Schizosaccharomyces pombe: one gene and its partner. The protein of the gene in region 2 interacts with the protein of the main gene of each other region in a pairwise test. Each region holds a gene or a part of one and is shown on either strand. Other genes may lie near its edges. The genes, in order: dca7 and ppk15.

What was found.
Region 1: the proteins of ppk15 (region 2) and dca7 interact in a two-hybrid assay, tested with the Schizosaccharomyces pombe proteins (one large-scale study listed by BioGRID).

What each region holds. Positions count from the first base shown.
Region 1 is NC_003423.3:3,322,167-3,326,605, reverse strand, and holds dca7 (WD repeat-containing protein), read right to left. Parts: upstream 2,604-4,439; 5' UTR 2,578-2,603; coding exon 2,335-2,577; intron 2,220-2,334; coding exon 1,986-2,219; exon of another isoform or gene 1,966-1,985; intron 1,946-1,965; coding exon 1,704-1,945; intron 1,679-1,703; exon of another isoform or gene 1,640-1,678; coding exon 1,082-1,639; intron 1,038-1,081; coding exon 1,007-1,037; 3' UTR 595-1,006; downstream 1-594. Other genes in the region: proteasome regulatory subunit Rpn2, read left to right, coding at 3,765-3,810, 3,872-4,439.
Region 2 is NC_003424.3:2,583,412-2,588,259, reverse strand, and holds ppk15 (serine/threonine protein kinase Ppk15), read right to left. Parts: upstream 3,088-4,848; 5' UTR 2,506-3,087; coding exon 2,317-2,505; intron 2,270-2,316; coding exon 854-2,269; 3' UTR 786-853; downstream 1-785. Other genes in the region: tom6 (uncharacterized protein), read right to left, coding at 4,213-4,319, 4,358-4,397.

The DNA of each region.
Region 1 (4,439 bases), on a different chromosome or scaffold from region 2:
CTTAACGAATTCATACTGCACTGCAGTTCTTAGCTGTTATGATCATCACTATCTATTTTAGTGTGGTAGCTAACGACAAGAGTAAATTTAAGCTAATATACCATGCTACGTTAATACAAGCGAAGTTAAACGAAGTTAAAAAATCTATGTGTCACTGTACTTGTCAAATCAAAGTTAGTTATGACAAAATCGTTACTAATTGCTATTTAATTGAATCCATAATAAAAGCATTAATATTTTCTTTACTAGTAGGTAATCCCTATCTCTTTTCATTTACACATATGGATGTAACGCTTAATGTGTTTTGTGTTCCATGCATCGCATTCACAGCATGCAGCTGATTTTTTGTAGTAATCAGCCATGGCTTCTGATTTATGATTTATCAAATCGTTTACAATTCCACATGTGTTACATTTTGCGGTAAATTTGCTTCATTAATCAAAAAACGTAAAGTATTTTAAGCTCCTGCCGCACTAATTTAACAAACAGAGATTTCACTTCATAACAATAATAGAATAAGACTATTCAAAGTTTTAATCGATGTAGAAAGCTAAATTAAAAAAATTCTGTAAAAGTTGCTTGACTCCTTATCATTTGAAAACACGTATCGCCCTAGAGCTTTGTACATTTCCAGCGTTGCTGAGATACGCAAATGAAAGTGGAAATTGCATAAACATTGCGCTTGAATGTGCAAACCCAATTGCCAAAAGTTTCCGAAAGACATGTAGTTGATTTGAAAAAACCATAGTTCAACACGCAACTCATAGGGTTCTATTTCCAAATTTTCTCAAAAACAAACATAACTTTTTTGAATTTTATTAATAGTTAACAAGAAGACAACGAAGGACAACATAAAATGCCTAACTAGCTTTGCTTGACAAAGTAATTAAGCAAATGAAAAAAGCGTAAGAAATTTATTCCTCAGTGTATTTGCATTCATAATCTAATTTTTTTTTAATTTTTTTAAATTGAAATGCGTAAAACAACACTAATCACAAAATCTAGATCATTGAGGGACCTTCAGTATTTCAAGGGATCTAAAAAAAGATGTTAATATTTATTTTACTCCAAAAGTGCTTACTTTCCGTAAACAACCGCTAATCCGTCGTTTTTTACAGACCAGCTTAGATTGTTCACTTCGTGTTCCAACTTCCAAGATAGTAAGGGAGAATACTGGTTATCAGCATTCAACGGAGAAGCCGTCTCACGCATAGAATTCACCGACGAAACGGGTGTCACATATTCTGAAGTCGAGCCCGTCATACCAGGTGTAGTTCCAGATACACTCAGCGTTGGAGCTGGGGAAGGATTAACTGGCTGATCCAAATCCCATAAGGAAACGACACAGTCGTCCCCACAAGTGGCTAATTTTGATTTAGAGCCCGGCATCCATTTAACCGCATTCACGTCCCCCTTATGTCCACGCAAAGTGGCATAAGCAGTTCCCGGCACTCGGATGTCAATCATTTGGACGTCAGAAGAATTATGGTGGAAAGTTGCCATTAAATTAACATCGGAATCGCAAGCAGAAAGTCGAAGTAAAGGAGCTGAGACAGGAGGAGAAGCATTTGTATAGTCACCGTTTCTCTTCCAAAAGGTGCTATCGCCCTCATATATGATCGTGGAATGATCCAATGATCTAAAGAAAGTTAACAAACTACTGTCAAAAGGAAAAATCCAATTGCCGATTGTGGATCGCATACCTCAAGTCAAACATGCGGACGCTGCCATCAGCTCCTACGCTAACAAAAACATTGATACTGTCCTTGAGAAACGCAACGTCATAAACTTCTTTGTCGTGAGCAATTAATTGTGTTTTTGATTGCTGGGCTACAATGTCCCAAACTGTGCAAGTGGTATCAAGGCTACTCACTACGATATATGAAGGATCAGTTTTGCACCAATCAAACGAAGTTAGAGGAGCATTATTATGAGTTTTTACATGCTATAACATTAGTCGCCAAGAAGAAAAAAGAAAATCATACGGTAGATAAAGAGGCTTGACATAACAAAGGAGAATCAATCCCCGCTTCAAAATCGGTTTTCCATAATCGCAATTGCTGATCCGTAGAAGCTAGCAACTGGGAGTCGGTGTTAGAACCAACCGATGAAGGATTCCATAACAACTTCGTAACTGGGTATTCAAGATCAGTTGCTGCTTGCGCCTTTTCCAAGTGAGAATTTCCATCATCCCCAGTTATTAGTTTTAACAATTGTATCTAAACAATTTTTTGGTTAGTAACTTCGTAGAACAGAGTACATCTTTGGAGTCTATGCCAAAAGAAGCACAGATAAAATTATATAATATTTCCCCTGGTTTTGCAATTAGCATACCATATTATTTGGTTCTTCATTCAAACTTCCCATAGCAATCCATTCACTAGAATATTTTCCTTGTTTTAACCAATCCAAGGCAAATGGAATCCACGGTGCATTGTATCCAGTATATTCTTTTCCCGCTTCAAATTTGTTAGGCAGTTGTCTTTTGGGCGATCCGTAGAATTTGCCAAGTGAATCAAGTACTGATTTTCCAACGCCAGCAGATATTGAATACCTATTTCTACGTAAATCTGTCATTGTGCGCGAAGTGTGGATATTGGGATAAAGTAAGTAAGCGCCCCACTTATGATGTATATTCAATACAAAGCAAACAGCGAATACCGGCTGCAAAGCGAAAACGCAAAAATGAAGAATTGTTTTATTATATTTGTAATTTTTTTCCTATTCAATAATTTTTTAGTAAATTAAAAGAAGCGACTGCGTACAATTGCTTCACCCTTTTTTGTTGATTGACCTTTGATCCCGTACTCAGCGCTTCCGTTAAGGTATCATTACATATACATTAATATCATTGTATGCGTGAAACACAGAATTTTTTATATCTATTTAGAGTTAAGATAGTTATGTTTTAACAAAATACATTTCGGGTTACTTTAGCTTCTGTTTGCTTCCAGTTTGACGACATCGAAAAATGTCCATTCAATTAACATGCCAGCAATAAAAAACAGTGGTTTTAATAAAGCCAAAAACATTGTGGCATGGGAAGGCCTCGATATCATTTCTGGACGCATCCATGTGGCTTAGTTATTTCATTACTGATAGAATTGACTTCGAGAAAAATTATGAAATACATTAAATTTTCTTGATCAAACAGTTCATTTGCAAAGCTACTGAACCATGATAATTGTTATATTACATTGTATTTGTAAAGTAATATTGTACTAGGCATTGATACGTACTGCAAGTTAAACGAATGATCCCAGCGTAATATATACTATCAAAAAATACTAATGAAAGTATAACTGTGAAGTCAAACAACTATAATGCTTTAAAAAAAAAATTCGACAAAAATTAGCTACTTTGTTAAGCTAAAGACTATAAATTTATCGATACTAAAAGCGAATGATAAGAAGGCAATGAGAATCATATTATAGAACGATCAGAATAGCTTTACTTAGTTCGTTCATTTTGATACGATACTCATATAAATCCCTCATTGGGTTGAGATATCTTACATAGTTGATGAAACATACAATTTGACTTTTTTCGATAATACTGAATATTATTTAGGTGGTGTGGTGTGGATAACATGATATAGCATTACATTTAATATACCTGAAACATTTATTGGTACAAGTGCCCTACCCTTACCGAATGTGTTGGTGGAATGAAGCACAACGGTTCAGGGTATTTACCAACAACGAAACACCACCTGCTGTTATATAGTTTGTAAGATTTAAATAAACAGGTCTAGTTTCGTCGAAATGACTATGGTGTACTCTGATAACACCTCTATTATAACGTCAGCAGGTACGTCGAGCGTTAAACAATGAAAAAATGTAGAAATCATGTTCACTAATCCTTTTGATAGGTGGTTTGATGGCCCTGCTGGACGAGCAAGAGCGAGAATTACAAGTACATGCTTTACTAAAAATTTATGAGTTTATTGATCAATTATGGCCGGAAATATCGGATGATGTTACGAAAATTGAGGTTATGTATGAGGACCATTCATTTCCTGAACGCGAATTAGCAGCCTTGGTAGTCTCAAAAGTTTATTATTACCTTGGAGAATATGATGAGGCTCTTTTGTTTGCCTTGTCAAGTGGTCCAAAGTTTTTGCATGACAAAAATAGTGATTACAAAGAAACACTAATTTTCAAATGTATTGATATGTTTATTCATAAAAGTGCAGAGTTGTACAAAAATCCAAAGGCTGACCCCTTGGACGAGAGACTAAGTGGCGTAGTCGAGGGCATTTTTCAAAAATGTTATGCTAAAAACGAATGGAGACATGTTTTGGGAATTGCTATCGAGGCTCATCGACTTGACATTATTGAATACATTTTAAATGCAGACAAAGAGACAGATTTAAAGCCTTATGTACTGGAACTTGCAATGACTGTTGTTTTAGACATTGAATTCCGAAACCGCTTACT
Region 2 (4,848 bases):
GATACTCGGTATTCATTCAAAAAGCCGTAATTTTTTTTCACTTTATCTTTACTTAAGTTTCCCGATAAAGAGTCAAATCTGGGATCACGAGTAAATTTTTTTGGTTCAGATATTACTTCGCGAAAACGAGAAACTGGTTTTTTACTTGACAATTCTTGAGGGGCGTGTTTCTTTCTTTCGCCAAAAATTTTTTGTCAACTTTCTCAGTATGTTTCATATTTTTTCTGTCATTATCTTTGTTTTTTGCTGTTCTTTAAGCAGGTCCCTTTGAGCATTCAACAATGTATCAAACGGAATCTCAGCTAACTCTTCAAATTTGTGAGTAAATATTAATTAAGAAAATAAAAGAATTTTTAACATACGACTTTTAGCTGTTTTTGATTCGTTGTTTGAGTCTTCATCGTCTTCTGAATCTTCATTATTAAAGTTTTCAAATTCTTCTTCTGAGACCAATTCTTCGTCGCTATCTAGATCATCTTCGTAAACACCCGCATTAGCAAGAGTCCCATTTTCAAGTGAACTTGATTTCATTTTGGCGATTTGTGAATGTCTACTACATAAAAGTATAAAACCTCTCTACATAGAGTATTTACCGTAGCGCTAAATATAGCGTTAAATTTGTAAATGCTTTATACTATTTACTATTGAAAACTGCATATTGAAGCCTCGAAGGAACTTTGAAAATATTCGTAGTATGTATATATCATCAAAAGTTTGAATGCTTTATGAAAATTGAAAACGTTTTACGAAAGCTATTAGAAAATTGGTACAACATAAAAAAAAAATTTGGAATGGATCATGCCTATTAAATATTTTAAATAAATTTGAATGTTTCTATACGTAAAATATGACATTAGAAAAATTCATCTACATTTTCGTTCTCATTAGCGGGAGGATAATATTGAGGCAGCGGTCGAGTATGTACAAATTCTTCAGGTTCGTTGGAAACATAAGTGCTTGCACGCTGTAAGGAAGGAGGAACCACCGCTTGATTTCCAATAGTATGAGAACGGTTCCTCGTTCTTTGAGTTGTAAGCAGTGGTTTTTGTTTGTCAATGCAGTATTGACTGAAAGAGGCACCTGTGATAAAAGGATGATTTTTCGCCTGGTCAGGAGTCCATCTCTTCAAAGGATTTAACTCTAAAAACTGCTTTATGAAATCGATGAAACAAAGTCTCTCTTCATGTTCTTCAGGAGTAAGCTTAGGTGTGGTTTTTCGGCGAGGATAATTTAAAACAATAGCATCGAGTGTCTTTTCACCAAAATATTGTTTTCCAGGTTGCTCTGTTTTGTTGTTTTCGATAGAAAACTGTTCGATCGATTTAAGCTCATAAGTTTTTCTACCGTTTACAAAACCAGAATTGTAATATTTCTTCGAATTTTTACCCATTTCTAACATCCAAGTGGGAGGATTACCAAGCATGTCAACAATCCGACATAATTGATTATATTCGGAATTTCCAGGGAACAAGGGAAGACCTAAGAATAGTTCAGCTAAAATGCATCCCAAAGACCACATATCAATTCCACAGTTATAATGTAGTCCTAAAATTACTTCCGGACTGCGATAGAATCGCGATTGAATATAGGTATAAACTGTTTGGCGTTCGTGACAAGCACTACCAAAATCTATCACTTTCACAATCGGTGATGATAAATCCTGCAACAGGATATTTTCCGGCTTTAGATCACAATGTATGATTCGAGCTTGTTTGAGGAGAGATGTGCACGATAGAAGTTGCGTTGCGAAAGAACGAACAAGACTTAAATGTAAACCACGGAACTGATTTTGCTTGATAAGCTCATAAAGATTAATACTGAGTAACTCAAAAACGAGACACAAATGATTTTTATGCATAAATTGATCATATAAACGAATTAAATGGCGCTTGTCTTCTGGATCGTACTTATTGTTAAGGAGCTCTAGTATAGAAACCTCCATCACACATTGGTTATAAAATGCCGGCTTATTTTTGATAACTTTAATAGCTACAATTTGTTGGGTTTTAAGATCTTGGCATCTAGCAACTTGACCAAATGTGCCATGCCCCAGGGTGTCGAGAATCAAATATTTACGGCCTTCATCCGTTCCTAGCAAATCGTTAACATACAATACATAATCATGATTGACGTTATCAAAACCATGGTTGTGAACTCCTTCACTGGGTTTGGTGAGTGGTCTCCGAGGGTTTTGTTCGGAAGAAAACTGGAATTTTGGATTACAAATTGAATATGTATCAGCTAGTTTCACAGTCATTGCTTCTAAGGGCTATATGTTTAATTAGTAAAATGCAGAGCAAGTAAAAAATTTCGTACGCTAATATAGCTTCCATGGGGAGACACCCTTCTGTAATTGTATTTCTTGGTTGCCGGTTTGACAGGAGCAAACAAAGTTGTTCCAGAAGACGAGACATGACGAGCATGATTATTACGCTGCGAGTGATCATGAGTCCTCGCAGCAGGAGGATTGTTCGATAATGGAAGAATGGGCGAATCCGAATCCATATGAATAGAGACGCCTTTTTGTAAAGTATTGCAAAGAATATATCAGTATAGGCAGAATACGAGTGCCTTCATTCACACTCGAATCACTTTAAAGTAACGTAAAATAGTGATCTCTTGGAACGTGAGTCGATGCACAACAGTGCAAAAAGGAACCACAAGTTATACTATTTACAAAGTAGTAGTTGACAGATTAACCAAAGGAATCTAAAAAAGAAGTGCTTTAAAGGAAAAAAGTCAAAGAGTTTGAAATGAACGCACCAACCGGCTAATCAATTTAATGGAACAACTGACAAAGAGCTAGTTTCGCTTACGATAATCTCGATCTGGAACAAAGGGAAACACTTGTGGATATGAAGCTTAAAATATGAATTTGGAGGAATCTTCTAATTTTCTTGTTTATAGCGTGTAGCTACAAATACAAATATAATATTCGGCAGAAAATCGAAAATATTCACTAAAATAAGCCGATAAATATGCACAGTGCGAGTTGAACGAATAACTAATCAACTCCACCGTATAAATTACAAATTTATACGAAAAACAACACTGAGAGATTTCGCAATTTATTGAAAGATGAAGGATTTAACCAAAAAAAGCGGCTTGGTTAAAGGATAGAGAGGAATCTGAAGGAAAGGGATGACGACACACCGCTTTGTAGTGAGCCGCGTGTAACGGCGCTGACGATGACTGAAATAAAGTACAATTGCTTGCTATGCCTTAATCAGTTTTACTGATTTTCAATCTATTACGTAATAGAGTGTATCAATGAATTAAAAGGCCGTCATTAAAACTTTGGCTTGCAAAAAAATACAAGAAAAAGTTACTAGAAGAGGATCTTTTGATTCTTATATTATTAAATAGTTGGATCTTAGATCCCAATTAAATAATTAAATATTGTTTCAGGTTTCCGTGACATGACTTAAGAAGGCGATAATTTCGCTTACATTAAGGTTCCTGCTCTTACTCTCCACAACGAAATCAATTCGTATTTGAAAAGACGAATGAATTTGGTGCAAAACATCCGTCTATACCAATAACCGCGATAAATAAGAAACAACTTCCATTGAAAGGCTTATTCGAAACATCAAGCGCAATGTTTACCAATAGTACGCATCCTTAATTCAGAATAGTAGCAATTTTTCGAAAAAACGGATATTCTCCATACTTAGTATATTTGGATGTTGCACAACCATGTAACCGGTTGGATATTAAAAGGAGGAAAAACGTTTCTTGTTTGGCATCTATCTGTAAATGAAGGAGTCGTTGTTAAAACATTCTCCACGCCGACTACATTCGTACATAAAAATTTTCGCATAAACGACAAACGAAATGGTTCCTAGTCCAATGTTCACACAAAAATCTGTAGTGAATGGACGAATATTGGTTATTGACTTCAAACATCTAAGGAAACATAAATAGACGCAAGATATCAGAATCGAACTAGCTTATATGTAAAAATGTTCCTACCAACTAATGCTCCTACGTACTTCGCATGACACTAGATAACATAAATATTTCAAATTTTAGATCGCTAACAAAAATTACAAAGCACAATGATATTCATGAAAGATATATGTTGTTTAGCTTTGAACCTTTATTGAAACTGGGAGTTCATTTTATTTATGAAACAACCATACAACGTTATGAAGTAATATTTTTCTGAATCCAAAGCTGAAGACGTTTAGTCCGTGAAATTCAAACATCCATTTACAATTGTGGTACCAAAAAGTTTCCCAGTCTGGATTTCAAGATGGCTACAGAAACTGCAAATACGCCAAGACTCACGAAAATGGAAGAGTTTTCCTTATTGACGACTAAAAGATGTTAAATTAATAGTTTTACAGGGACATACCCTTTTTGAAAATATCTTTTTGAGCAGAAATGCGATCCATTTTTGACTAAGTGGTTGAAGGAACGTGGCTAAATACCGACTTGTAACGTAATTTAACATGACTGTGATCGCTGCCATAAACAGTGATCAGGTAAAATGTATGGCTTCAATAACCCTAATTGATAACCCTAAGAGCTAGCTGTATGGATTTTGTTTTGCAGTAGAGGAAACATTCTATACTGCAATAGTTTTTTAAGACAAAACGCTTTATATTTAGTTTACTTGGTCTTACGAAATAATCAAGAGTAGCGCTGCGGAAACAAATTTTTTCCTTTAAAATTTTCCATAATCATTATCTTTTTTAGTATTTTTTCATTTTTTTTTCGGGGGAGGGGTTAGAATAATTTAATTCATTTTCTTAACAAATGTACATCTCAAGAGCATCAATATTTAGACAATTAAAACTTTCAATAAATAAACGATTATTTTTTTCGGATTATTAATTGCTAAGC